4 linked regions of the Alligator mississippiensis genome follow. The main gene of each other region encodes a partner of the protein of the gene in region 3 in a complex. Links are inferred from orthologs where the notes say so. Each region holds a gene or a part of one and is shown on either strand. Other genes may lie near its edges. The genes, in order: LSM6, TXNL4A, PRPF4 and PPIH.

Region 1 (7,227 bases), on a different chromosome or scaffold from region 3:
TGGCTACCCATGTTTTGTTCCTTACAGAAAATGAATAAACTCAATTTATGGCAAAGTGGGCTTACGCCATTGGATCAGAAATTAGTACTGAAAAAATGGGAGACCATCTGAAATAATGGTCCCACACAATAATAAAAGAAAATTATTTTAAAACCTTATATCAGTGCTCTCTCACGCCACTCAAAATTTAATGCTTTTATGGTAGAGACAAATGTTGGAGGGAGTGTGGTTGTTTGGGGAACATTCCACTACATGTGATGCACATGTCCCAGAATCAGACTGTTCTGGAAGCAGGCTGGAGACATGGTGAAGGAAATAAAAGGATGCCAACTAACAAGATAACCACTTAGTGTTCCTGTTGAACCTTCCTATGAACTCTGCACTTACAGAGGTCACAAGGAATTATTCACTCATCTTCTAACGGCTGCAGGAATTACAACTGCAAAAATCTGAAAGATGACAACTCTAAAATCAATGGCTAGTTTCCAAACGCTTGGTAAATTTTAGTGATAGAAAAGTCCCACCAAGTCAGTGTTCTGCAGGGGGTGGGGAGGACAAGACAACGCTTACTTGGAAATCTGAAGGAGTATTTTGGAATTTACTTACAAACAATCTTCTACCTTCAAACCAGAAAAAATCTGAGAGACTTTAACTCTCCTCCTCTGTTTTTCAACATATGATTAGTCCTCTTCTCTCTTCTCTGGACACTTTCTCCCCTGCAACTTAACTCCCTTTTCCCATGGACCAGATGCAGGTACTAGTGGATGGCAGCTCTGTAGATGCCTCATTTCTCTTCCTCTTCAGTAGTTGAAAACTACTGGCATTTTTACACGTGCTCCAGGGTGCTTTAATTAGAGCAGCTCTCCAAGGGCTTTAATTAGGGCTTCAATTAGAACAGCTCTCAGTTAACAAAAGTTTGTCTAAAGTGCCCCTGCTGCCATTTTGAAGTGTGGGGACACCAGTACACAAGAGGTGGAGGCTGGATGGCGCACACTAATTGGCAAACTCCATCAGACTCAATTAATCGAGTCTGTAATTTCAGCATGTTGGAGCAGCTTCCCAGCACATCTACAGACACCCTATAACAGAGTCAGCTGCCATGTGCTCATACCTAGCTGCTTTACATGCTCGAAGCTTTCTACTACTGATAGTAATAAAATGGATATTAGTAAAGACAGCCAACTCTAGACAGACTACTGACAAGGGTTCCGGTGAACACCAGAGACTAGTTTGTAAAATACATAGTCTGTGACAAGCTGCTGAAAAATGAAATTCCCTACCAACTTATTAACATATTACTCTGCAATGTGAAAATAAACACAGATTCATAGATGTTAGGGTCGGAAGGGACCTCAATAGGTCATCGAGTCCGACCCCCTGCATAGGCAGGAAAGAGTGCTGGTTTCAGATCACTCCAGCCAGATGCCTATCTAACCTCCTCCTGAAGACCCCCAGGGTAGGGGATAGCACCACTTCCCTTGGGAGCCCATTCCAGATTTTGGCCACTCTAACTGTGAAGAAGTTCTTCCTAAATGTCCAGTCTAAATCTGCTCTCTGCTAGCTTATGGTCATTCTTTCTTGTGACCCCCCAGGGGCACATGAAAGAAGTCATCACAAGAAGATGAAAGGCAATAAAAGATAAAGCTCAGGTGTGACTTGACAACACCAGCTAAACCTTTCAATCAGTTTTTTCATCAACAGATTTTTTTTGGGGGGTCCTTAATAAACCCTTACTAAACAGGCTTGGACAGTGGTTCTCAACCTTTTTAGGCTTGAGGCACCCCTTGATAGACCCGAGGCACCCCTGGGAAAATGCCAGCTCTTAGATCTCACTATTTTTTCACCAGAGAAAAATAACAGAGCAATTCTTCTGCTGCAAAGACCTCTGCAAGACCACAACAGGGCAGAACGGCTTTGACACTGGGTTTCCATTTGAAATCTCCGTGTTTATCGTATGAACGCTGCCTGCACACCAAACAGTGCTAACACTCTACGGCACCCTTAAAAGGGCCTCAAGGCACTCCAGGGTGACGCAGGGCCCAGGCTGAGAAACACTGCACTAAAGGAAGAGTTATTAGAAGAGGAAAGAGCTGAGGGGAAAGCCAAAATCCTAGAAGAAACCCAAGGCTGGCAGTAAACACAAAGCTGGACATGAGCCAGTCGCAAACTGCCTGCACAGGTCTCAAAGAGGCCACTGTGCACCTAATGCTGGGCACCTCCGGACCAGTACGGGGGAGAAAAATTAGCAAAACAGAGCCAGCAACAGCCAGAGCCCCTCCATGACACATGTGAGATGATCCAAGTGGACACTGAGGTGCAGCTCCCCAGGCAGCTGGCAGGGGAAAGCAAGGAGCAGGGGTTAGTTATCAGCGGCTGTCCCAGGAGACGGAAGGGGCAGCAGGAGACTGAAGAAAGGGGCAGCTCTGGGGAGCGGGACGTGGATCTGCTGTCGGACGCTGCAGTGGGGGGGGGGGGACCGAAATGCACCTTCCTAAAATAAAACTGGACGAAAACTGCCTGATCCTCGTGTTGTGCTGTGCGGCACAGATGTAAAGCATAGGCGCATGCACACACACAACACACATGCATGCAGACGCATGCACAAACACGCGCACCCGTTCCCGTCAGCGCCCGCGCAAGGGAGGGCAGGGCAGGGCAGGGCAGGGCAGGTCATGACCCAGCGGGGTGCGCGCGCAGCAGCCGACCCTGCCGCCGCCGCGGCATGCGCATGCGCAAGCTCGGCCTGCGCGCCACAGCACCGCGCCACAGCATCGAGCCACCGCTCCCAGCCTGAGGCGCCCCGCGCCCAGGCTACGGCGCCAGGCAGTTCACTGCCGTTGGCCGGCAGCGGCCCGGCCCCTGCCCCTGCCCCGCGCGCCCTAGCTCGCTCACCCGCGCGCTGCTCCACCCGCTGGCTAGGAAAGCTGCCGGGCGCACGAACAGCCAATCAACGCCTTGCTACGGCGAGCTGCCGGGACCAGAACTCCCTGCTTGGACAAGAACGCGTTCTGCTGGGGACTTGGGGCGGGGCCAGCACGTGAAGCCGCTGCGCTGCTCTGCGCTCGGCAGGGTCCCGCCCCCGCCCCAATGGGATCTGCCCATTGCAAAGCTTCCGCACCCACCCTCCAGTGCCCTTTTTAAGGGTCTGAGGCCGCTGCTTTGCTGCCTTGGGCTCCGTGCACGGCGGCTCAGCCAAGCCGAGCCCAGCCCAGCCCAGCAAGTCTTCTTAGTCCAGGGGTGCTCAGCCAGGGTGTCTTGGCCCAGTGGTACCTGGGATCCTGTCCAAGCTGCTTCACAGGTTGAGCCCCGGGATGGCCCCTAGGAAGCCCTGGCTGTGGTTGTGCAGCAGAAACCCTGCCCTGCTACTCTCCTGTCCTTAAATAAAGAGCGAAAACGAAGAGCTGGGGGGGTGTTGTAGCCGTGTTAGCTTAAGGACATAGGCACACAAGGCTTTTTCAATAAATGATATCTTTTATTAGACCAGCTAAATAGTTAGGGAAATTGTTCTTTGCAAGCTTTTGGGCACAAGCACCCTTCTTCAGGCACAGGAAGAGTCTGTGGATGTTTCGTGCTCTCCTGGATGGAACAGAAGCCAACGTGTAAAATGCAGGCCTGCAAAAATGCAAATGCAATGGCAGCGAGGATCAGAGGCCATGGGGGACAAGAGGTGTGAGGCAGGTGTAGGGGTGGGGGATTATTGACCTGGTGATAATGTAGCTGGTAAAATGTAGAGAGGTTACCTGGGGTTATTGAAGGTCAGGCAGATTATAATGTACTGTAAATCTAATGTCTGTTTAGTCCATGATTTTTTGTATCCAGTACATTGAAGAAGTGAAGTTCATAGGCTCGTCTGTGAAAGGTGTTTTGTACATTATCTTTGAGGATGAGAAGTGAGAGACTGGAGAGAGAGTGGGTGTGTTGTGAGAAGTGTGCACCCACAGGTGCTTGGGTATTTCTGTCTCTCATAGATTTCTGGTGTGTGTTCATTCTGGTGCACAGTTATTTCTTGGTTTCTCTTACATATTTTCCATCAGGGCATGTAGTGTGCTGGATGAGATACAGAAGAGCTGGCATTTCCCAAAGGCTAATGAGTCTAAAAAGGTTGAGGACCTCAGCCTCCCTCTCTGCCTGCTCCTGCTGCTAAGACGTGGATGCCAGCAGTCACCTTAGTCATAGTCAGCTGCTGGTTTAATACAGAAGGCCTCAGATTAGAGTCCAAGGTTAAAGTCGCACGTTCTGCCCCTAAAGCTCCCTCTTCTCTTTGTGCTGTGAAGTGTATGCAGACGTGGAATTTGGAAAGGGGGCATGGGGACGGTGAGGTGCATCATCACATATAACAGCATTTATCTTTCTTCAGTTAAAAAGAAATTAGAAGCTTCATGTAGACACTACAGGCCTAGGGCTGTGTTACTCAGTTTAAGAATGAAGCAAAAGCAAACCTAACTTCATAGGAATGAGTTAAAAACAGTCTGCAAAGCTGAGAATTAGGAGCTTCAGTATCAGGAGCAGGGAACAGACAGCAGAATGGCAGAACAAAGGATAGCGTTTTTGGTGGAGCATCAAGACCCATGGAAAGAAGCCATTAACACCTGTGGAATGAAGAATTTAGATGGAACCAGGTGGGATGATACTGAGCTATCGAGTCAATTGACTCCCTGAGCAATGCCTGACTAGAAATGCTGCTGCTACTGCCAGGCAGTTCATTTTAAACTTTGTGTAGAGCAGGAATCAAAGTGGGGTGTGAGTGCACTCCCTCGGATCTGCCCCTGAGCTATGTGTGCTGGGGCATGTTTGCAACCACCTCTCCACGGGCAGACTTCTGCTAGAAGAGGATGGTAAATCAGCCCTTCCTAACATGGGGCTGTGAGCCAGTAAGGAAGGGTGTCCTCCCATTCAATTTGCTGGTGCTTTCTTGCAACACTGTTAATTTTAGATCCCTGCAGAATGTGCATCCTGGCCCATGCTTCTCTTTTCAGAGGCTGTAAATATTTTTAAATGATGGTCAACTTTCCAAACCACTGACTTCTTTGTCTTGCTTTTTTTACTATAGCTGGTCATACCTGAGGTGCTGGAATGCCAGAGGAAAGGTAACATTGCAGGTGGTGTGATGTGAATGCCTTCCAGCCATGCTCATGTTTGGTTCATATACCTGCTTACAGCTGATATTAGAACATCTCCCTCATGCACTGTTCACCCATTAGCCTAACGGTGCTTAAGATGAACTGTATTTGTACAAATATTTTATTTCTATTTATTATGTGTTGTGTGGGTGCCATGCTTATGAAAGATGCTTGATTGATAGCAGTGGAATGTACTCTTTTGTTTTCAAAGCAGAAGTTGCAGCCGTTCAAGCTCCTTTTATTGCAGGGGTGTGCAGTTATTTGGGCCCACAGGCCATATTGGGAGTTTTGGTGAGCTGTTGTGAGCTGGGTCAGCACTCCCCTGCCTGTGCAACATCTCACCAAAACTCCTTATGTGGCTTTGCTCTGCACATGGCAGGGTGGATGGGATGGGTCCGTGAGCGAGCAGGGAGCAGTGTCCAGGAGTGAAACAGGCAGGTGAAACTGGGATCACAGGGCACATTGTGGGGCATTGACAGCATGGGGCCAGGGTAAAGCCACGATCCACTGCTCTCACTGCCCTGCGTCCCGGGCATGGGTTCCACAGGCAAGGGGTGTGCAGGCCCCAGCCCCATGCTGTCAGCACCCCAAGATCCTGGTCTCAGCCCTGGACATAGCCCTGCTGCGTGCCCAGAGGTGGCAGGACTGGGCATAAGCACCACAGCCCAGGCTGGCCCCTGGGCTGGGTGGAACCAAGGGACCTGCCACAGGCCAGAAAAAAATCCCTCAGTAGGTTGGATCCTGTCCAAGGGCCATATTTTGCCCACCCCGTCTTACTGAGTCTACAGCATGCTTTTCAAGCTTTTCTGGAGGTGTCTACTCTAGGTTTAGTGCCATCTAGTCTAGTTAATTCTTTCTGTCTATTCAGCATCCCATTCTTAGTTGTCATGCCATGACTGCCCACACAACATCTGTAACAGTGATCTTGTTATTATGAAATAATATAACAGTAGTACTTCTATAACAGTGGTGCTTAATCTTTAAGCCCCTCAGGCCAGGGGAGTGGTGAGAGACTGGGGAGTGGTGAGGGACCAGTCTATGGGCTGGACCCGATGCATGGAGTTGGTCTGTGGGTACCATCTGGTATACTGGCCTGACACCACACATGTCCCAATCTGGGACACCAGATCCAGCCACTCACCATCTTGACCCCATGCACCAGATCTGGCTACTGACCAGTCTGATCCTGCTGCATAGTGTCTGATACCGGTCTGATCCTGCTGCATAGTGACCGGACCCCATGTTCCAGATCTGGCTGCAAACTGGCTTGACCCCACACACCAGCATAATTTAGTACACAAGGTATGTCATCTGGCACAGAGCTCCCCATGGGTCTGGAAATCTGGCAGCAAGGAAGCTGCAATTAACACTGCCACCACTCCCCAACTGCCAAATTTTTTGGACCCATGGCAGCACCCACGGACCAAATGACATACATGGCCTTTCAGGCTGGAGGTTGAACATCCCTACTCTATAAAGGCATGGCATGCCAGTAGGAGGCCTCTCCACCAGTTAGGGGTCTTGGATCATTATCACTGGATGGGAGGGGCTGCTACTTGTTTAGCATCTTCTCCCAGTTAAACTTGTCCCAAAATACAGTTTTTCCCCAGGTATGCATAACCCTTAATCTCTGTCATTCTTCTAAAGCAGAGCCACAGCTGTGCCTGTACTGAATCCATCTGCTGCAGTTCCCTTTGAATTTTTCCACAATATGTTGGGCAACAGAATCTAGCATGCTCTAAGTTGTTCTGAAACAAAACTGAGATATGAAGCATCCCGCTTTTCAACCTGAGCTATACAGGGTTTTAAGAAGAGACCCAAAGATTCTTCCTCATCAGATATCCAAGGTATTTAAATTAAACAGCAAACTTCTGAAAAAAAATCTCCCAGAATTGTTCTCTTGTCATCTTCTTCAACAGCAAAGGAACAGTACTGCTCAATTTTCCCATTAAGAGAAAGAGAATTATGCACAAATTTGAAAGGTATAGGAGGGGAAAAAATAATTGTCAGAATTTTAATGTGCATTATTTCCTGATTTGCTGAAAGCTACTCAGGCTCATAGGAAAAAACTCTTACCGCTTAAATCTGAGATTTTTATACTGCATTG
Region 2 (7,496 bases), on a different chromosome or scaffold from region 3:
TTCCAAGAGTTTGAGTTTATTATACATTAACTCTTGTGCCTCAGAAGTTTGGCTTTTGCTCAACCTGACATTCTAGGAGGGCATGTTGAAATTTCTGAGCCTGGCAACAAGAGAACTATTTAATTAATTAAGTCAAAGAGAATTTGAGCCTCAACTAGCAAAAACGGGGGAGGGGTTGGAAGAAAATGCTCTATAAATAACATTTTAAATTATCAAAATATCTTAGATTCAGCTCAAGTCAGAATAAATGTGCTTGTACCTTCGGTTCCTGTTGTGATACAGAATTTTCATGTCAAAGGCTTTGGCCCGCTTGGCCACTTTATAGCCAATCCTGCCCATTCCAATGATCCCAAGGGTAGCCCCAGTGACTTCCACTCCCAGCCAGTCAACAGCAAAACGCTCAGTGTCTGGAGAAACTGCAATCTGACAACCTAAAAAAAAAAGTGAATAAATTGAAATAAACCGATTATGAAGGAATTTAAGATGGAAATTAAAAAGAGAAGGAATGTTCACAAAACCATCAAAAGAATGAAGTTCTGGAATAGTTCATAGGAGTAAAGGGGGTGTCAAATATCCAAGTACTTTTAAGATGGAGTTTGACCAGTTTTTTAAAGTGATGTATGAAAGTTGCATACAATAGCAGGGAATAAGGTCTCAGTGGCCCAGGGGATTCCTCCTGATCCTATGTCTCCAATACGTTGATTTTTGCTGAATGAATTCTTCATTGTTTGTAACGTTTTCTTGGATGTTTGCACTTAGGTTAGACAGAGGCCTTAATCTCGTGAACAGTGACTTGTGCTGGAGCAGGTTTGGGTACAAGGTATAAGAGGAAAAAACAGAAAAGCAGCACCACTTGAAAAGCTGAATCCTCAGTGCTTTTCTTCCTAAATAGATTCCTAAAAAGTATTTCAGCCAGGTGAACGATGACAAAGTGAAAAATGGAAAATGCCAAAACAAGCTCAAATGGAAGAAAAACATCAGCAAAGGAATTAAAAAGGTTACCTTCCACTAGTCTTCTGGCAGATGCCAACATCAGGGCCATCCCTGTATCTGCTGTGGAGTCAGATACAGCTTGTGGAGTATTAGTCACTTTCACTCCAAAGCTAGAAATCAGTTTCAAGTCCAGGTGATCCACTCCTACTCCGGAGTTGGCAATCACCTTTAAGTTAGGCAGGCTTTCAAGGAGTCCCCGGTCAATGGTGGGTCTGCGTTCAAATATGAAAATAGATTTGATTTTTTCACTCAGTTCTTTTTTGTTTTCAAGAAATTCCTTCATGGTGATAAGGTGAAAGTTCTTTTTCAGGAGCCCCACATGGTTTTCCAGAACACCTTCTACTCCTCCAACTCCAAGGATCAGAACACCAGGCAGTTCTTGGTCTCCCATGACCTGCCAAAAGGATTAAGAGAAATGTTCCCTTATACATGAGAAATGAACAATTTGCTAGGGAGCAGCTATAGCCACACTTGTAAATTTGCACTTAATGGAAATAAATACTATCCTCAATAACACAATGTGAACCTACTCACAAATTAGCAGTGATCCTTAATTGAAAGATGTGGGATCAGGCTCCACCACTGAAATCTGGCCCTCCTGACTTCAGATCTAGAATCTCTTGGAGGGCATGGCCCTATATAATTTTGATTATCCATGCTTTGCTATCCTTTAGCTTCTCCATATCCAATGTCTCTCACTTCAAAAGCCATCAATCATTTTAGTCTCAAGTTACTTTCATTCCACGCAACTCTCATAGCTCTTCGCTATCACTCTTGAAAATGTATATCAATAATAATCAAGATTCATGAAACAGGGATAGCTAAGAGTTATTTTAAGTTCTCTGCATGAATTGCTTTGTGTGTGTGGGTGGCTGGGTATGTATTTAGGTCTCACGAGCACACACTGGCCGGACCCAGATATTCAGGCACATGCAGTTTGTAGTCTTTGATGACTAAGAAATTTCCTTTAAATCACACGGTTGAAGACCACTTCCTGCTCAGGGGCAATGCGTACGGGGTGCACATGGGTGCGTGTCCACCCCCTGAGCGTGGTGATGCACCCCCTGCAAAAAGACCACCCCCTGCAGGCAGTCACCCCTTGCCACCCCGCCGGTGGCATCTGTGGGCGGTCCACGATCACCCCTGGCTGCCACCGCCGGCAGCACCTGGGGGTGGTCACCAACTCCTGGTCAGTGCTCGCCACCCACCCCCTGCAAGTGCCAGCTGCATCTATGGGAGCTCTGTGCTTACCACCACCGGGCTCCTGCTGCCACCAGCGCAGCTGTGCCCCGCCCAGCTGCTGGGGGCATGCGCCGTTCATGCTCCTGCTCTAACAACCGACCTACTGTTAATTTGATAGTTCTTAATTAATAGACTTAATTTGCCGTTCTTATGGTTCCCTGCATCAAATCGGCTGTTTGTGCATTTAATGTAATGACAGTTTCTGGACTGGCACCATAAGAAAATGAGGTTAGTTCACTAACAAAGTAATCCAGTTAGTACACAGTTCTCAGAGTCCTTGTTTCTCAGCCACATCATCCTACTTAGAGCTGAGTGGCTTGCTACCTGACATGTTTTTGGAACTCAGTGGCAGCCTTGCCCGGTAAAGACCTGCAGCTGGTACAGGTCATGAAGAACAATACCGCTTACATTCCCCAGAAATAACTGATGATCCTTAAAATGAAAAGCAAAACTCTCCGATGTATTACACCATTTGTTCTTAGCCCTCGAGGCTTCCTCATACATGCATACAATACGCGACTGATCCGAATCAGATTCACATCTGTATATGATTTAGAAGAACTTTCTATACAGTCAACAGGAGTAAGAAAAATGATTTGTGCGGAGGCCGGATGTGCAAATAGCTTGCCAAGTTGCGCGCAAACCCACGAGCCCAAGTTGCTTTCCCCCTCCACCTTGCCATGCTTTTACTAAAAAAGATGGGAGCCACCATTTGCCATTACTCTCTGATCTGCGCTTCACGATCCTTTGTTCCAGTGCAACCAGTGCATCAGGTCTCCACGCCAGGCTTGGGGTATTGCTGAATGGGACTGGGTTGCCAAAGGGAGAAACCTCTGACAACCCAGGCCCATTCAACACTACCCCACACAGCTGAAAGCCTGCACTGAGCTTCCCACTGTTGTGCCTAGACTGGGGGCTGCTTGACCCCGGGGTGATGCCCGAGACCCGGCCCCTGGAGCAGCCTCATCAGCCCAGGGCGGGCTGGAAACCTGGTGACCATGGGGAAACGGTGGCTGCCCCCCTGCTGCTGAGAGTCTGGAGCCCGGGGGAACACCACGGGGCTGGCCTGACCCCACATCATACTCTTGCCTGACCCGAGCCACCTCGGGCAGATCCACCTCAGTGTTGCCAGGTGTACAATCATTACCATATCAGAACCATCATTTCAACCCTTGTACAATGTACCATCAATAATAGTAAAAGTGCTCAAAATATACAGTAATTTTGGAGGCAGCAAACTGATGCAGCATACGCAAAACCCACTTCACTCTCAGTCTTACCCGACTTTTGGGTTTGCTACTGGCGCTTTCTTATGCCTCGAAATAAAGAAATGCTTCAACTTGAAGACCCAGTTCTCACCCACTCATTGACTTATAATAAGCAATAAAAAGTAAATAAGGCTCATTTGCATGCTTATTTGGCATATCTATTTTGCATATTTTTTCAGTGTAGACAATTTTTCAGCAAATCCGATCATTTTGAGCTTCTGACAAACCATTTCATATTTAAGACATAGCCACGCTGATCCACCTGCGCCCCCTGCTCCACCCAGATGCGAGACCAGGCAGGGGTGAGGAGGCCCCGCGCCTCGCCCCCTGCCCCCAACCCACCCCGGCGCGCCGACAATTGCGCGCGCCCAGGCCCGTCCGGCTGCTCTGCCGCTCGCCGCGCAAGCGGGGAAGGGCCACGGCCACCCACAGGTAAGCCCGGGCCGCACCACGCCCCCAGCCCACGCACAGCATGGTCGCCCGGCCGCCGTACCGCCCCGGAGTGCAGCAACCCCCACTCCTCCCAGAGCCTGGGGGCGCCCTGATTGCCCGGGGCGCAGCATTTGTTCGTCTGGTGGTATGGCCTGGGCTCCCCCCCACACTCTGGGGGTTGGCATGTTCCAACCTGTGTTTCATTCCCTACTTTCCCCCCACACTCTGGAAGTTGGTATGTTCCAAGCCGTAGTTCTAAACTACCCGACACACACACTCTCTGTCTGGGAGTTGGTATATTCCAAACTGTAGTCCTAATCCATCACACGCACACTGTGGGGTTGGTACATTCCAAGATGTGATTCTACCCCGCTTCGCCTTACACAGTCCGGTGGGCGAAAGGAAGCAGCGAGTCTCCTCCAGCCTCGCAGCCCCTCAGGGCTCAGGCACCGGCCGAGACAGGGCGGAAGCGCTTCTTTGTTGCCTTCACTCCGGGCCCAGAAACGCGCTCGCGTCACTTCCGCTCCACCCTCCTACGTCGACGCCGGGAGTTGGGCTGAGCGGGAGCGTTGTATCTCGGTCCGGTCGCAGGAGTGGGCTTGCTGCGGCGGGGCCGCGTCTTCTCCGCGGTCGGGGGCGGAGGTCAGTGTCCCGGGACAGGGCGGGGCGGGACGTGCTGGAAGGGGCGCGGGGTCTGGCTGAGGTGGGGGAGGGGCGGGCACGCGGGATTTCCCCCCTCATTCGCGACCCTGTGGTCCGCAGGCCTCGCGCAGGTCGGCCGCCGCTATGTCGTACATGCTACCGCACTTGCACAATGGCTGGCAGGTGGACCAGGCCATCCTGTCGGAGGAGGACCGCGTGGTGGTCATCCGCTTCGGCCACGACTGGGATCCCACGTGCATGAAGATGGACGAGGTGTTGTACAGCATCGCCGAGAAGGTGGGTGTGGGCTGGTGCCCGGCAGAGGCCACGCAGCCTCGGGCACTTTGTTGGCCACCAAGTTGTCCGTCTGCGGGATGGTGCATTTCCCGCCCTTGCCCAGCATGTTCTGGCAGGAGGCAGGGGAGAGACATGCCGGACAGATGTGGCGGGGCCAACCTGTGGCACAGGCAGGCTCCGTGTGTGGTAAACAGCAGGTCAGGCAGGGAACAAAAGGCAAAGTGTGGGAGCAAGCAGGGAGCGGAAAGCAGAGCAGCAAATTTGGAAAAAGATTAGAGTCCCACTCGCGAAGGGTGCAGGTCTCATGGCATGCCTACCAAAGCACTTGGCCCCCACTTGGACGGTTTAACTCAAGGGTGTCACATATAGGGCCTGCAGAACTGAGCTGGTCTGCAGCGTCCTGTCATCTGGCCTGTGGTGCTGCCTGCGGGTCTTGGAGTGGACCCACGATTCGTGTGCTGCGTGCGCTGGGTCAGCCCTGCACCCTGCATGCGGCACATGAGGCCAGGGCGAAACGGCATGTGGGGTTGTGCTGGGTACGTGCTTCCTGCAGAGTGCACAACTAGTCTGGGGCTCGTGCTGCATGTAGCACGTGCAGCCAGTCCAGGGCACCCACTGCATGTAGCGCCCATCCTTTGCTCACCCTCATGCTGGTTTCAGCATGCAGGGCTGGTCTGCAAGCCCGGTCTGGCCCATGGATCGGTCCTGCTCCATTCATCCAGCCGGTGGACCAGCCCCTCACCTTTCACCCTGGCTCACAGCGCTTGATGAGTTTGACACCCCTGGACTAACTGAATCAGAGATGTATAAGCTTTCATGAGAGCAAGAGCTCATTTCATCAGATACTAAAAAGGGACATGTTCTTTGACATTCAGTCAAATGGAAACAGTGCGGTTAAATTAAAACATTGATTTCTATTTGTTGTTAATAGATAAGGATTTAATTAGTGGTGCACTAATACATCTGCCCCATCTTGGATCAGCAGCAATATAAGGAAAATTGACAGTATTGGCAATCAACTTTTTTTTGGTTGATGTGGCTGATAATGTTGCCAATAAATGCCCTGTGCGCACACGCAGCTGTGGCACAGCATGCAGGAAGCCAGGAGTGGAGCCTGGTAGCGTGGAGCACAGCTTGGTCTGGCTGGTAAGTCTGTTGTGGGGGAAGGGGTGTGAGGGGGGCCAGACTGAGGCCCCTGCAGTGAGGGCAGGAGTGGGGCTGGGGCAGGGGAAGGCACTGCATAGCTGGGGCACGGCACAGGATGGGGCCTCCAGCAGGTCATCTGGAGGACATGGGGAGGGGGTAGCAGCTCCCGCCCTGCACGCACTGTGGGAGGGTATGGTGGGGCGTGTGTCCCCGGATCTGGGCACAGGGCAAGGGCAGGCAGCCACTGTGGGCCGGGGCCAGGGGCAGCGCCGGACTCTTCCTGGTGGGGGGGATTAGGCCAGGGCTGCATTTAGGGTGGACAGTGGCGGTGCTGGGATCAGGCCTACGGCAAATTTGGGGTGGCTCCAGCTCCTTCTCCCCCTCTAGCTCCCCTCCAATCACTGCTGTAGCCCTCGCCGAACGCAGCTTGGTCCAACCCCCGGGGAAGAGCTCAGCGCTGCCCCAGCCTGCAGCAGCAGCCCACCCGTGGCCTGTGCACAGATCCAGGAGCGCATGCCCCCCTCCCCCGCGTGCACTTGGCAGGAGCTGCCCTCCGTGTGCTTCCCAGACGAGCAGCTCATGGCTCCATCCCTCACCCCACCCCTGCTGTGCAGTGCCTGCCCCAGCCCCGCTCCCTTCCCACCTTCTGTGCCCCCCACAACAAACTTACCAGCTGGATGCTGCTCTCCAAGCTGCTCCACTGCATATCATCAATCAGATCAGTATTGTCCAATATGGCTCATTAAAAATAGGCCATTGGTTTAAGCCCAAAACGTCTCTATCGGTGCACCCCTGGATTTAATAGCTTAATCTGCAAAGAGAAAGAAGCGTGTGTGTAACCAAACTAGTAGTAACATTATAGATAAGTTCATGTTGTCATTATTCCTTTTAAGTGAGAGAATGTAACATTAATACACTAGCAACTTTTTAATTGGAATAGTTTAAAATATTGACACACTTTGGCATGCCTTTAAATAAACACTTCCAGCAATTTAAAAGCCCAGGAGTAGGCTGTGCTTCACTTAGCATTTGCTAATGGACTGTATTTAGACTTTGTAAAACTTGTTGAAATCTGTGCATGTTGTGCTAATCTGTGAAGCTTTTCCAAATGGAAAAACAACACCCTATGAACACAAGTAAGTCTCCTGTTAAGCAGTTTAGATACTGAAAAGAAATTAAGCATTGTTTATGTAAATAGGTGATTAACTGTACAGCCTCTCTTACTTGTACCACTATGCAGCAGCACAGGACATGTTAAGCAGAACTGTCAGCAAACTCAAATAAAACACAGGTAAAAAGAACCAGAACAAAAAGGAATATTATCTGAATTTGTGTCAGATGGCAGTCAGTAATTATTTTCAGAAATGATTGTGCCTTTTTCTACAGAATAACCATATGTGAAGGTGTTTCTGTATTAGTCATTGCACAGTGTTCTTAGGGGCACTCTGGTAAGGCTACTGTACCTGTTCCAAGTGT
Region 3 (7,087 bases):
CTTCCTCGGAGCCAGGGAGTCTGCACCAGGCTCCGACTCCAGCCCCTGGCCCTCAGCCCCAGCCTCTGCCCCAGCCCCTGGCCCCCGGCTCCGGCCTCTGGCCCAGCCCCTGGCCCCTGGCTCCAGCCTCTGGCCCAGCCCCTGGGCCCCAGCTCCAGCCCCTGGCTCCCGGCTTCCAGCTCCAGCCTCCAGCCCTAGCCCCCAGCCCCCTCTGGTAAGTGTCCCATGCTAGGCCGAGGCGGCACACTCATGGACCGCTGCTCCTTAGAGGGAACACTGCCTGCAAGTCCCAGGCAGGGGCATACGTGCAATGGATTGTGGCTCTGCTCCAGCTCCAGACCACACTGTCATTACTGCAAGATCCCAGCCCTGGCTGCGGAGCAGCTCCCTGCCCTGCCACGCGCCCTACCAGCACTGCTGGGGCCAGTCTCCATGGAAACCCTGGCCCCGCGCTGTCACAGTGCCACCACTTCTGAGATAGCCATGGAAAACGGCTGTAGCAACATGGACAGGGGCTGCTGGGAAAAGAAGTCTGACCACTAGCCAGATCCACCATTTTGCCCACCCCTGCCTTAGGATGTCACTGTCCTATAAGTCGTATACTGATAAGTCCACCTTACACTATCAGGCTGTCTAATGATACCAAAAAATCAATGTCAGAGCTCTGGAAATGTTACAGATGGTCCATGAAGGAATTTGAAGGTTTCTATAAAATGGTCTCCTTCTCTCTACATTAATAACCTGCAGAATCCAAGAATGGGAGAGATGTTTACCTCTTCTTTGGCTTTCTTAGACTTGTCGTCATCTTTCTTCGTTTTTTTTAAGGCATCAGTGCCAACCACCGAGAGGATATTTCTCAATCTGAAATGAAACACACCAAGCATTAAATAAGATTCAGTCAATAACTTCTCAGGCATTCTTGACCATGTCTGACAGATGTAAAGAGTGAATGAAGAAGAAATTGATCAGTTGCTGTTATATCACTGAGAAGGAACAGTGGGCAACAGCATTCAGTGCACTCAACAGCTCAAGGAGTTTTACAAGAGATTTATGATTTGGTTACAGGGCAGGCCACACAAAGGACAAGACACAGCACCTTTCTCTTCTTTCTGCAGGCCCTTCTCCAAAGAGTGTGATGGGCTCCCCAAGAGCTCGTAAGCAGGCCTTGACTTCAGAGTCATCGGTGGAAACATTGATTTGCCTAGCACGCTTCCTGCGCTCAAATTCAGCCAACACTTCTGCCTGGCGCTCACTCATATGGTCTTCAAGATCGAAGACCTCACCTATGCCAGAAACAAAGCCATCAAATTGAAGCAATGACAACTGCACCAGAGACTTAGACAACTATAACCATTAAAAGCTATAAATATTTTTGCCCATTTAGGGTAGGGACGGTCAGTGCTGGCAATGGACTTCCCACCCCCATTCAAATCATGATGGAATACTGGATGGCTTGTAGTCTCTGCAGCCAAAATTTCTGTATTAAAACACAGCAGCAGATCAGGGGCTGTCCTAAAGCCCTGAGCTGAACCCCAACAAAAATGTCTTTTTAAATATCTCTAAGCCAGAAGCAAGAAAAGAAGCTGAAAGCACTATACAGAGTGTGTTCTTACCACTGCTAATGTTAATGTTGCCAGCCTGAATTGCAGCTTTCATCCCATCTTTTCCTAGCAGCCCCAGCTCCCCTTTGGCAATACGCTCCCTTTCCTTCTCCTCCAAACTTCCATAGAAGATATGAGGTCTCTTGACTGGGGGAGCATCACTCTCGTCTGAGATCTTGGTTTTTGTTGCCTACAAAATAAAAGCAAGATTTTAACAGACTGGTTCAGTATGTATCCGGCTTGGGAGCAGCAATTCAGCAAACTGCTTTGGCTGCACAAATCATTCAGGGTTTCTGGTCTACCCAGACCAGAAACCCTGAAATTATACCTAGAACATTAGCTCTGAACAGGGAAGGGATTCCTCAACACAAATTATGCTTAAGGAAACCGGGCAGGGATTTCTTTATTTATGCCTCTTTACAACGTGTAAAAATATATCCCAGACTTGCTTTCCGATGCACTCATATCAATTTGTGCTTAACAACAGCACATATCCCTTCAACTTTTAGGGAGTAAACACAAGGTTGGGCAGCAAGTCAAAAATAAAGGCACAAAAATCCAACCCTGTTGTAAGTTACTAGCAAATTTCCCAGCAACTGCAATGCTGCCAGGGTATGATCCCAAATTTATAACGGGATGTTTCAACTTTAAGTCTAAAGTCATACAAAACGAGGGTTGGAACAGGCCTCAGGTTACCCAGAGACGTCGTCTGCATCCTTAGAGGTTTCTAAGACCCAGGTAGACAAAGCCTTGGCTGGGACGGTAGAGTTGGAGATGGTCCTGCTTTGAGCAGAGGGTTGGACTAGATGTGACCTCCTGAGGTCCCCTCCAACCCTCGTTTTCCGATTTTATCCAGTCCAGCCCCCTGCCTGAAGCAGGGCCCCCCTCAACTGGATCATCCCAGCCAACCCTTTGTCTACCTGAGTCTTAAAACCTGCTGCAGGGATACAACTGATCGACGTGTTCACAACCACCGGTGTTACGCAGCACTCCCGTGCACCCCTCCGCTGCGGTGATTCTCACCCAGGGACCAGGGGCCATGGCCCTGCCGGGGGCATTCAGATCCCTTCCAGGACCTCGGGGAGCCGGCGCCGGGCGGACCCGGGCAAGAAGCAGATTTCACGGGGTGGGCCCGCGCCGCCCACAATCAGGGACAAGGAGAAACGCCAACTCCCTCCCCCCGCTCTGGGCCCGGTGCACGCAACGAGAGACCCCGCATCGCATAGCCCAGCCCGGCCCGGCCCCAACCGCGCCCCGATCCCCCGAGCCCCGCTTCACCCGCACCGCAGGGCCCCGCGCGGACGCCATGGCGACGGCAACACCGGCCGCTGCAGGGACTCTCCGCACTACGGGCCTGTCTTCACCCAACTGGTTCCGGGTTGCCGCGCGGGGCATGCCGGGAGGCGCCGGCCGGAAGTGAGCGCAGGGTATGCCGGGAGGCGCCGGCCGGAAGTGGGCAGGTTTGCGGCAGCGGTCGGGGCCGGGCTGTCCGGTTGCCGGCGAGAGGCGGCGGGGCCGGTGGCGCTCGCGATGCTGCGGCGGAAGCCGACGCGCCTGGAGCTGAAGCTAGACGACATCGAGGAGTTCGAGAGCATCAGGAAGGACCTCGAGGTGAGGCGCGTCGAGACCCGGCCGCACTCGGCGCTCCCGTCCCAGGGGCCGCCGCGGCCGGGGCCGCCTGCCGTGCGCGGGGCGTCCCGGGGAGCTCCGCCGCCGTGCGGAGGCGAGAAAGACAAGTCTGCGGATGACACCAAGCGGGGGGAGTAGTGGGTACACTGGAGTGCAGGGCTGGGGTTCAGAGGGACCGAGACAACCCGGAGGACTGGGCCCAGAGGAATCTCATGGGGTTCAACAAGGACAAGTGCAAAGTCCTGCACTTAAGACGGAGCAATCCCGTGCACCGGGACAGGCCGGGGGTGACTGGCTGGGTAGCAGCTCTGCAGAAAAGGACCTGGGCGTTACAGTGGACTATGGATAATAGTGGACAGTGGACAGTAAGCTGGATATGAGCCAGCAGAGTGCCCTTGTTCTGAAGAAGGCTAATGGCATACTGGGCTGCACTGGTAGGTGTGTTGCCAGCAGGTCAAGGGAAGTGATTATTCTTCTCTGTTTGGCACTGGTGAGGCCACATCTGGAGCACTGTGTCCAGTTTTGCCCCCCCCCCCCCCCCCCCCCCCAACTATAGAAAGGATGTGGACAAATTGGAGAGAGTCCAGCAGAGGGCAGCAACAATGGCTCAGGGGCTGGGACATGACTTATGGAAAGGCTGAGGGCACTGGCCTTATTTTCGTCTGGAGAAGGGAAGATTGAGAGAGGATTTAATAGCAGCCTTCAGCTACTGGCAGGATGATCACAAAGAGGATGGAACTTGACCAGGGTGGGCAAACTGCCGGCCAGCCAGTTGATTGGATCCAGCCTGTGGCTGCCCCTGCAGTGCTCCACATGGAGCCTGGCTCGACTTGTTCTCCTGCCCAGGGCAGCCTACATCTGCCAACGGCCCCAGCCAGCGCACAGTTTCCTGGCGGGGCTGCTCCCACACCTCCAGTGGTTCCTCCTCCTGCCCCTGCTGCACCACTCCAGGCTGGAGGGACTCTGCAGCCAGGCAGCTCCTTCCCCAGCATGCTGACCTCCAGCTCCCAGCCATCTTCTGTCCACTCGGCCACCCAGAGGTGGCTGCTCATGTCTGTTCATCACACTGGGCAGGCAGAGTGGGTGGAAGGTGCACTGGGGCAGGAGCCTCCTGGCTGCAGCTCTTCCCCACCACTCTCCTCTCCCGGCGCATATGGCAGGAGAAGGAGGAGGAGCTGCTGGAGGTGTGGGGGAGACCAAGCAATACCTAAACAGCTGCAGCCCTGCCGGGAAGCTGTGCATGTTGGGGAAGCTGTGCATGCTGGCTGGAGCCAGCAGGTGCAGATGGGACTGCCCCAGGCAGGGCTCAGCCCCATGTGGAGCACCGCAGGGGCATCTGCGGCTTGGGTGTGGGGTTGGGAGTAGCTGACCACACCTGCATCTGCACCACCTGGCTGAGCTCTGCTGCACCTGCCCCTAGCCCCCCACCTTTGCCCAGCTCCCAGGACCTAGCAACTAGGCAGCTCCTCACACCCCCCTGCCCTCTGCCACATACACACACACTGCCTCCCTACCCCCCACAATATACTAGAGTAAGACTGTATTTTAGGGGTGCACTGATAGAGATTTTTGGGGCTGATACTGATAGCCAATTTTTAAGAAGACATATTAGCAAATACCACTTTGATTTCCAAAACAGCTGTGTGCAGCTGGTAAGTCTGTTGTGGTGGAAGGGGTGGGGGAGGGGAAGGCAAGTGGGGGTGCAGATGAAGGCCCCTGCAGTGAGGGAGGGAGTGGGGGTGGGGCAGGCACTGCCCAGCTGGGGCGGGGTGGGGTGGGGCACAGGATGGAGCTGCAGGTCATCTGGTGGGGGCAGCTCCCACTGCTGCGCGCACCCCTGGAGGACACAGGGGTGGGGGCGTGTGCCTTGAGGGGCAAGGAGGGGCAGGGTACAGCACTGGGCTCTTCCCAGCAGGGGTGTGGACTGGGCTGTGGGTGGTGGTGGCGGTGGGAGGGGGCTGGAGGGGCTGCAGCCACCCCGAAATTTGCTGTAGTCCCCGCCATAGCCCCCTCCCAGTGCTACTGCCCACCCTGAATGCAGCCTGGCCCAGCCCTGGCCCACCCTTCTCTGCACAGATAAGGGGGCACACCCCCCCATGCCCTCCTGGACGAGTGACGGGAGCAGCAGCTGGAGCCACCGGATGAGCGGCTCCCGGATGAGCAGTGTGCAGGGCAGGAGCCACTCCCCCCTTCCCATGCCCGTGCCCCGCCCCTCCCTGCCTCCCCCCCCAGCTGTGACTCTGTGCCATACCCTCCCCCTTCTCCCCACCCTGCCCCCAGGCTGGGAAGCATCTTCCCCAGTCTCACTCCCTCCCTCACCAGAGGGGCCTTGATCTGCCCCGGTCTCCACTCCCCTTCCACTACAAGAGACTTACCAGCTGCAACTGCCCGGGGCTGTGTTCCTCACTGCCTATGTGTTGTGCTATGGCTGCGCGCATACAAGGGCCATTTATTACCCACAAAAGGCTGATTTCCGATATAGACAATTTTCTTGATATTGGTGCCGATCCAATATCAGACCAATGTATTGATTCACCTCTACTGTATTTTGAGCTATTATGCAGTTGCCTCTATATATGCTACTCAAAAAACATAAACGAAGACAAAAAATATTTTTTAAATAAAATTAAAATATGCTTTAGATATTTGATTTTTAGTATAATTTTGTTTTTTATTTATAATTTGTTAAAATTATATATTCTAAAAGATTTTAGGTGTGCAACCCTTGACAGCTCAGCAGAAGTCATTAAGTGGCCCTCCAGCCAAAATCATTGCCCACTCCTGAACTAGACTGTTCTCAGTGGTGGCAGATGATAAAGCAAAGGGCAGCAAGGGAAGTTTAGGTTAGATACTAGGAAAAACTTTCTCACTGGGAGGGTAATAAAATACTGGAACAGGTTATCCAGAGGGGTTGTGGCCTCTCCATCCTTGGTTAGACAAAGCCTTGGCAGGGATAATATAGATAGGGATGGGCCTGCTTTGAGCAAGGGGTTGGACTAGATGACCTCTTGAGGTCCCTTCCAACCATAATTTTCTATGATTCTGTGATAAAAGCAGGAGAGGGAGAGAGGTCGCAGGTTCATAACAAAGGAGCCAGAAGGGGACACTGGAGCAGTGTGCACCAGCCAGTGCCCACTGCCCCCTGAACGAGCCGAGGGAGCCTGTAGACACCGATCGGTGATATTCTGCCTGGAGACACTAGCAGAAGAGCAAAAGGAAGACAGCTCCACACTTGCCCGGCTTCCCCCCAGCCCGAGCCTTCTTCCTGGTCTTGTAGATCAGTGTGACACAGGCCTATTGGACACACAAAGGAAATGTGGGCTTTGGCAGACCTATGGTCTGGTTCAGTAAATGGCAGTTCTTATGTTCTTATCTGTCTACTTTGGGTGCTACATTGAGATAACTTCTTCTTTACCCTTACTTTAATTTAGCAGTAGAAAGAAACAGAGAGACCTGGCTTGACAGTACCTAATTTCATACCTACGGGGCCCTGAATGCTCAATAAGAATACAGACATTGGAGTCTGCTCCCTCTGGAAGCAATAATGTCACGCACAAGGCACGGTACGAAACCTGCCTGGCTGCTCAGGCTTCTCCTAAGGGAGTGGGGTGGATGCAGAGCCATTCTGTCTATTTTGGGGGGGTTGGTAAGGAGTGATTGTGAATCTCAATTTAGTTCTAAAATCAGCAGAGCTGTGGTGACATGCACATGACATGCATTGAAAACCTGTTGTTTAGATGTATATTCTGTCTAGAAATGCTCAGAGTGGTATACAGCAGCAGATAAACAACCCACAAAATAAGATGCAACAACAGACGCCCTAGTCAATACTATAAAAGTTTAAAACTCCACCCCAC
Region 4 (7,004 bases), on a different chromosome or scaffold from region 3:
TGGAGCATGTGATGAAGAACTGACACCCATTTGTACTTGGACCACTGTTTGCCTAATTTAAAATGCAAACACATGCATATGTTAGTGAACTGAACATCTCGAGCCTGGAGGAGCCAGGATACTTCAAACAAGAGTGCTATCATCCCAGCTGGCCTGCACGAGAAATGTTTATCACAGGAATTAACATCCACCTCCAAAGGGCCGGCTTAGTACCTAGATACTCCACTAAATAAACCACTGGTCCAGCACGTCAGTCTCTGTACTGCCACTATGCAATTTTAAGCTGCTGGCGATGTTTCTATAAAACAAACCATGGAGCTGAGAGCCAGGAAATAACTGGTAAATCTCAGAAATGATGGGTGGAAGATGCAGAAACCTTTCTAGTCTTACTACCTTGTCCGCCTTACACTTACCATAGACAAGAGTCCAGGAGCAGAGTGTTTGAGTTTGAAGTTTTCATCTGCAAAGGGACCTCGGTATATACTAGCCACCCCAGTGCCATCTCCCTGTGTGAGGAGGGAGGCAATTATCAATCCCATCTCAGGAAAAGCATGTTTTTAAAATAATTCCAACAGAAAAGCACTTTGTTAACCAAAATTAAGGTTGAGGCTGTATTTTCATTTAGAAAAAAACAGTGTTAAGAAGAACACTAGAAATGAAAACATCTGAACATTGTTGAGCCTGGAAACCAGAAGTCAGCGCTCCACCCTAATCCTGCATTTGATCCTCCTCCCCCTTCCTCACGTCAGTTAGTCACAGACCGACCCCCAGGCCAGGTGAAACCAGAGGACAAGCGCAGAGACGGCGCGAGGGAAGCAGGTAGATTCCAGACCTCCAAGACCCGCCAGATGAAGTTACGGATGAGTTCGGGCTGCGCAGGGTGCACGTTCCACCGAAAACAGAAGGCAAGTAGGAAAGACAAGGATGGCTCTCGGGTTAGAAGAATGAGGGATGACAAGTGAGGGAGGCGCCTGTCAGAGGCTGAAGCTGGCAGAGATGCTGCAGAGTGGGGGCATGGGGGGCTTTGGCATCGCCAGAGTATATTCCATGGGTCTAACCAGGTATTCCCCCTCTTTGCTGAAAGGGCTTCTGGGCTCCAGCCACCTCCTTCCCCCCCGTCAATGCCCTCTCGCTCTTTCCTCGTCTTTCATTTACATATCCCCGCTCACTAAGCAACAGGTTCCAAAAATAAGTTAAACGGTTAAATACTGCCCCATGGGAAGAACACCACTCTGCATCTTTAAGGAAAGGAAACGGACAAACTCATAATACCTACATTTACAAAGTCGCCTCCCTGGATCATGAAATCCTTTATCACCCTGAAAAGTAATTAAGAACAAAGTAAACGACTGCTTCTCTGTGAAACATCTTCCCACAAAGTTTAGTATCTCAGAAACGACAGAGAAACAGCCCATGCCACAATAAAATGCACCTAGTGACTAGGTGATGGACTCGACATGGGATGACCTCTGACTTTGGACAAAGGCTGGACAGCGCTGCCTGTGCCCTGGGTGATAAGCACCGAGAAGAACATACTTTTTATCCGGCAAGTACAAGAGTGGCCCACAGAGGCAGAGTCGCCCAAACTATAGATGCAGGGCAGAGACTTTAGAAAGAAAACACTCTTCAGATCTCCTATCCCTCGATGACTACAGGATGCCTCCTACTTTAGGGACTGCTTTCAAACCCGGGCACCAGGCTGCGTCTAGGTCACCGCGCTGTTTTGAACAAGAGGAAATTGACTTACCGGTGGAAAGTGCTCCCCTTGTAACCTATAGGGACACCATCTTTCCTACAGCAAAAGACAAGGACACAGCACTGCAAGGTGCCGCTCGTCGCAGCTCGACACTTCCAGTCGGGCTAGAACCCCGGAGCCCGCGTGCCGGACCGACGGGCCCCCCCGCGCCCGGGACGGCCCTACAGCACCTGGCAGCAACAGCCATTCAGGCAGCACGGGGGTGGGAACAAACACCATCGGACTTCTCTGCTTTCTGGTCACGACACACCTCAATATGCCGCTTCAAAGGAGCGGTGCGCTGACCCCACGTACCTGAATTCACCCGTGCAGAACTGCCTGGAAAGAGGGGAAAAGAGAGCGCGCAGCACATGAGTCGCCTGAAAGAGGAATTTGAATCCAAACCCAATCACCGCTGCTCTGACTGCTTTACTGAAGAGGGACGAGGGGACTCCCCTTCCGAGCAGCAAGTGACACTGCTGACAGGAGCAGCAGCAACTGCGACCCTTCCTCCCCAAGGGCTGTTTCTCGGCATCAGCCTGGATCAGATGTTGGATGCCGAGAACGGGAAGAGCCAAAAACGTGGATTTGGGCATCACCCCCTGGAGACCCGCAGTGGGAAGGGGGGGCTGTGACGCCCGTCGAGAAGGGAGCGGCGGGCGCCCTCTCGTCAGACAGGCCGACGGGAGACCGAGGCATTCAGCTGCCGCTCCCGCGAGGCACGCTTGGGACGGGCCCGCGGAGGCTCGGAGCGACCCCGAGAAACGCGGCCAGCCACGCGCACGTCTCTGCTGGCTGCGGAGAGCGGCCTGGGCCGGGCCCGGACGGACCCAGCGACCAGCCTGGCTCACCGGGCACCGCGGGCCCAGCACCGCGCTCGGGGCCGCCACGTCTCCCCCAAGCACCGCCGCGGGGTCGCCACCGCCCGGGGACCGGCGCTCGGGCCCCCGCAGGGAAACGCGGGAGGGGGGGAGGGGGGGTGGCGCGCTGCGGTCCCGCCCCGCCCCGCCGCACCTGAAGTTCTCGGCCGTCTTGGGTATCACGTCGGCGAACAGCTCGATCTTCATGCGGCCCACCTCCTGCGGGGCGGGGAGGGGAGAGGCGAGGCATCAGCGCCGCCCGCACCCGCCCCGCCCCCCTCCTGCGCCCCGCGCCGCCCCGCCCGCACCTGCCCGCCGATGGTGACATCGAAGAAGACGACCGGGTTGTTGGGGTTGGAGGCCAGCACCGACATGACGCCCCGCGGCCCGGAACCGGAAACACGGCGGCGACTTCCGCCCGGAAGTCCCCGGCCCTGCGGAGCATGCGCGGGAGCGGCCGCCTCCGTGGGCGGGGCCAGCGCCACGTGCTGCGACAGGCGGCGGGCTGCGAGGGCGGGAGGGGAAGGCGGGGCGGGTTCGGGGCCCGCCAGGAGACGGCGGTGCCGAGCTGCCTGCGGGGCCACCAGGCGCTCCAACGGGCTCGTGCCCGACCCGCCAGCAGCCGCTCTCCATGCCGGCCCGGCCCGGCCCTTCCTGGGGCTGCCGGGCCGCCCGAGGGGCAGGGGCGGCTGCCACCGCGGCACCAGAGGCCGGGAGCGAGGCCTGGGGCCGGCCGCCCACCCGTGCTGCCTGCCGGGCGCCCCGCAGCCCTGCGCGGGTCCGGGCCCGGTGCGGAAGGAGCCTGGAGCCGCTGCTCGCCTCTGCTTCAGAAACCCCCTAGAAGCGCCCTGGACCTCCAGACAACCAGCGTCAAGCGGAGAAGAAACATTTTTTAAAATAACACTTTAATGAATTACTTTATGATTAAAAAAAAAAATAAATCCGACAGCTTTGGGACAAGACGTTGAGCTGGGCAAACAGCTGAAAACCAGTCACCGAATAATTTAGTTGAGAGGTGTCACAAAATCCACGTAATACGTTATTTGGCGAATGCTCCTCCCCTCCTTGTGCCCCGCGGCAAGGGAGAGCTCAGCTCCTTGCCGGGGGGCCATAGACATCGTCGCAGCAGAAACCCGGCCTCTCCTCCTGCGCCTGCAGGCTGGCGGGGTCTCCGGGGGACGCCACGTTCAGGTAGCCCATCTCGGAGGGCTGAGAAGGCGATAAGGAAGACGAGGACTTTTGGCTTTCAGCGCCTTCGTCGGACTTGGCTTCTTGAATGGCTCTCAGCACGCTGAGCGAGTCCGACAGCCCCGCCGCTGAGAAGCTGCAAAAGAATTCCCGCCCCGTGTTCGCTCTGCAAACAGCGTCTCCAGCTGCGTCCTCGCGGGGCCCCACCGCCGCCACACCCGCGTGCCACATGGTCTTCGTGCTGCTACCCCCGGGGGCGGGAAAGGTCTAACGTAGAGACAGGCCAAACCCCAGATCCTCACGGGCACTCAGCTGCCTTCCTCCCGAGGAGCCTAATGCCCATTCAGACCCGTTAACTGCCCCCTCCTGTTGGCAAGGTCTGAGACTCTAACTGTGAGGTCTGTCGTGCTCCCTCGCTGCAGCAGTAACTACTAGTGCTCGGCTGTGCTGCTGCAGCACTTGCAGGCCCAGTCAAAGATCGAGCTCGGGGCCGTGCACAGTCACAGAAAGCCCCACGGGACTTGCAAACTAAAGGAGGCAGCAGCTAGTAGATGCTGGTTAGCTCCACCCCTCCGTCCTACCGCACGACCAAAAGACACGAGGGAATAAAATAAAGGGTGAAACTTGTGTTTTGAAAACAGGAATCCATGGCTTCCCTATTCCCCAGTGCTGACAGGACCTGCTATTAGTAAGCAGACCTGGTGCCTTTTTACTCACGGGACCTACCTCGTGTTTGGAAGTGGCAACATTTTACTCAGTAGCTGGCATTCAGAGAAGCCAACGCTCCTCAAGTCCTAGGAAAAGAAGCAGAACAATAATCAACTGATAAAAGGCAGGGAGGGCATGCTCAAGGCAATAAACACGTTGCAAACAAACCAGAGAGGAAAGGGATATTTTCACACAGTATTTAGAGACGGGAAACTTGGGATCTCAGATGCACGGGAGAAAATTCCAAGGAAAGAGACAGCACGGAGGAAGTTTGTGTGCAGAGGGTTGGCTGGGTGTTTGTGAATGAAAGGGAGTGGCTAGTTCCTAAAGGACCGGAAAAACAAAACCCAGAACAAGAGTCCCATGAGCAAGTGACGTTGATGGAAATATTTCCATCAACTAGCACTGCTCCAGTTAGGGAACTATTTCAAACTGGAAGCCCTAAAAAGTGACAGTCTAGACAGCCCTCGGTGCCCTTGGGAGAACGTACAGACTACGAGAGCAGGTTCAGCCACTGCTTTCTGGATGGGAGCACCACACTGCTGCTCCCCCAATCTAGCCATCCCACACTGGCTATCACTTCACATTCATTTACCTAAAGTTAAGTACATTTAGACACTTAGACGAGGTTTTCCAAAGGAGCAGATGGGTGTTGGACATTCAAGTTCCACCAATTTCCAAATCGCAAAGCCCAGTTTTAAATAAGTGGCTTGACTGTCAGGTTCTGAACGCTGAGAGGTGCCTGGTACCCTGGCAAACCGGGGCCTGCCGTTCAGCGCCTGGCTACGAAGCTATGGGGATGGCTGACTACTCGGTTCTGGAGTCGCACTGAGAAAATGGAGACGCCATTTCAGGTGAAACAAGTGCCTGAAAAAGGTTCCATTTTGGCTAAAACAAAACATTTTGTTTGATCCAAAACAGTTTTTCGTTTCAGTTAATCCAAAACAGCATTAAATTTGGTCTCTAAAGATCATTTTGAAGCAAAACATTGAAATGTTTTGTCATTCTTAAAACAAACCATCTCAACTGTTCTGGGTTTTTTCAGCCCAAACTATTCCAGACATTGCATCAATCCACAGTTGTTTTTTGTCAAATAAACTCTTCATTTTAGACGTCCCCAGGCACCCGTTTGATACTTTTGGCTCACTTGTGAAGGTATCTAAAATTACCCACTTTTTACAAAGTTTTCTTGGTCCCAGACCTTCCCCATCATTCAGATATTTTTAACAACTGAAAAACAAAAAAAGATCAAAGGTAAAAAGCATAACCTTTGTCGCTGCAAAAAATGGCCTAATAACCCAGCAGATGGAGGGACAGCCTGCCTCAGCATCCCAGGAATGAGACAGCCCTTCACATCTAGGCTACTGGCTCCAATTCAGCTACTCGAGCAACCAGATCCCTGCCGCCCACCATGCATTTGGTGTCCTTTATGAAATGAGCTGATGGGCCTCAGTCCAATCCCCACGGGATGGAGACACTAATAATACACGTTATCTATAGCAGCCCGAGCAGGAAATCCAGAGGCAGTGAGCCTTGTTTTGTAAAGATCTCAGCATGCAGTAACTCCTACTGAAGATAGGGCCCAATCAGGGGTACTGCTCACTCTGGAAAATCATAGTAAAACAGTTACTCAAGACTCCAGTGAAGTTCCTTCCAGCTTAAAGCTGGGGTATATTGGTAGGAGACTGATGGGGGAAATTGCTCTGATGCAGCTACATGGGGGAGAAGGTACCAAAAGACGGCGCATCCATCTTACCTCTACGCCATGAGTCTGAATGTTCCTCAGAGCCCGCTCCAGACCCCCAACCTGGTTGGAGAGCTGTATGGTGCTTTCCTGCAGTCGCTTGTTTTCTTTGTCCAGGAACTGCACTCTGCGAAGGTCACACACACACACACAGAGCAGTTTACTTCCCGCACGTGAACCTTGGCTTCTAACCGCTTGATGTTGTCAGAGGGGCATTTGCTCTCAGCCTCTCTACACAGAAAGGACTCAGGTAAATTCTCTGAGCCTGCTGCCCCCACAAGACGCGTGCTGCAGAAGTCAGGTTCCACGCCCCACCAGGGCCAAGCCCATTCCAGGTGAAGCGGCCTTGACTACATCTGTTAGTTAGCCCGAGCCATGGTTGTGTTACTCCCGGTTTACTCCACACACAGAACAAGGGTTTCATTAGTTACATGGGCAATAGCATTGCAGAGCACAGACCCATGAGACGAACTTCAGCCCTCCTGGTTTGAACTCTGGTCTAGGTTGCTAAGCTAAAACTGCTCTTTCTGCAAAGTGAGATAAGTAACGGCACCTGCTCTGAATTGTGGAAATGATCCGCCTGTTGTTCCGACCAACTTCTTCCTGCTCATTAACCTGCTGTAAGAGTTTTCTGTTTTCCTGGAGCAAACGGTCATTCTCTGTGGTGACCTGCTTGATCAACGCATGTTCCTGTGTGTAAGGAAACATAAGGAAATAACAACAGCAACAGTACCTAACTCTTACCTGCAGCTTTTCATCTCTAAGTCTC

What was found.
Region 1: PRPF4 (region 3) and LSM6 share a complex: the UniProt entries of both Homo sapiens proteins name them as parts of the precatalytic spliceosome. The link is inferred for Alligator mississippiensis from reciprocal best matches to the Homo sapiens genes PRPF4 and LSM6.
Region 2: PRPF4 (region 3) and TXNL4A share a complex: the UniProt entries of both Homo sapiens proteins name them as parts of the precatalytic spliceosome. The link is inferred for Alligator mississippiensis from reciprocal best matches to the Homo sapiens genes PRPF4 and TXNL4A.
Region 4: the proteins of PRPF4 (region 3) and PPIH are in contact, whole or in part, in a crystal structure (PDB 1MZW), measured with the Homo sapiens proteins. The link is inferred for Alligator mississippiensis from reciprocal best matches to the Homo sapiens genes PRPF4 and PPIH. Residues at the interface, in NP_004688.2 of Homo sapiens: Arg113, Gly116, Glu117, Pro118, Ile119, Thr120, Leu121, Phe122, Gly123, Glu124; in NP_006338.1 of Homo sapiens: Phe14, Arg26, Phe46, Cys47, Thr48, Gly49, Pro57, Ile58, Gly59, Tyr60, Lys61, Gln173, Cys174, Gly175, Glu176, Met177.

What each region holds. Positions count from the first base shown.
Region 1 is NC_081825.1:100,697,853-100,705,079, forward strand, and holds the start of LSM6 (U6 snRNA-associated Sm-like protein LSm6), read right to left. Parts: upstream 3,001-7,227; 5' UTR 2,893-3,000; intron 1-2,892. UniProt on the Homo sapiens protein: Plays a role in pre-mRNA splicing as component of the U4/U6-U5 tri-snRNP complex that is involved in spliceosome assembly, and as component of the precatalytic spliceosome (spliceosome B complex).
Region 2 is NC_081826.1:113,462,523-113,470,018, reverse strand, and holds the start of TXNL4A (thioredoxin-like protein 4A), read left to right. Parts: upstream 1-4,476; 5' UTR 4,477-4,577; intron 4,578-4,697; 5' UTR 4,698-4,721; coding exon 4,722-4,874; intron 4,875-7,496. Other genes in the region: probable 2-ketogluconate reductase, read right to left, coding at 260-431, 1,003-1,387, 4,268-4,285. UniProt on the Homo sapiens protein: Plays a role in pre-mRNA splicing as component of the U5 snRNP and U4/U6-U5 tri-snRNP complexes that are involved in spliceosome assembly, and as component of the precatalytic spliceosome (spliceosome B complex).
Region 3 is NC_081835.1:49,104,117-49,111,203, forward strand, and holds the start of PRPF4 (U4/U6 small nuclear ribonucleoprotein Prp4), read right to left. Parts: upstream 3,007-7,087; 5' UTR 2,997-3,006; coding exon 2,880-2,996; intron 1,792-2,879; coding exon 1,614-1,791; intron 1,284-1,613; coding exon 1,097-1,283; intron 862-1,096; coding exon 774-861; intron 1-773. Other genes in the region: anaphase-promoting complex subunit CDC26, read left to right, coding at 3,132-3,212. UniProt on the Homo sapiens protein: Plays a role in pre-mRNA splicing as component of the U4/U6-U5 tri-snRNP complex that is involved in spliceosome assembly, and as component of the precatalytic spliceosome (spliceosome B complex).
Region 4 is NC_081836.1:1,379,688-1,386,691, reverse strand, and holds the start of PPIH (peptidyl-prolyl cis-trans isomerase H), read right to left. Parts: upstream 3,011-7,004; 5' UTR 2,970-3,010; coding exon 2,904-2,969; intron 2,815-2,903; coding exon 2,750-2,814; intron 2,075-2,749; coding exon 2,051-2,074; intron 1,793-2,050; coding exon 1,748-1,792; intron 1,320-1,747; coding exon 1,277-1,319; intron 507-1,276; coding exon 414-506; intron 53-413; coding exon 1-52. Other genes in the region: CCDC30 (coiled-coil domain-containing protein 30), read right to left, coding at 3,685-3,919, 4,510-4,577, 6,248-6,362, 6,789-6,925. UniProt on the Homo sapiens protein: PPIase that catalyzes the cis-trans isomerization of proline imidic peptide bonds in oligopeptides and may therefore assist protein folding. Participates in pre-mRNA splicing.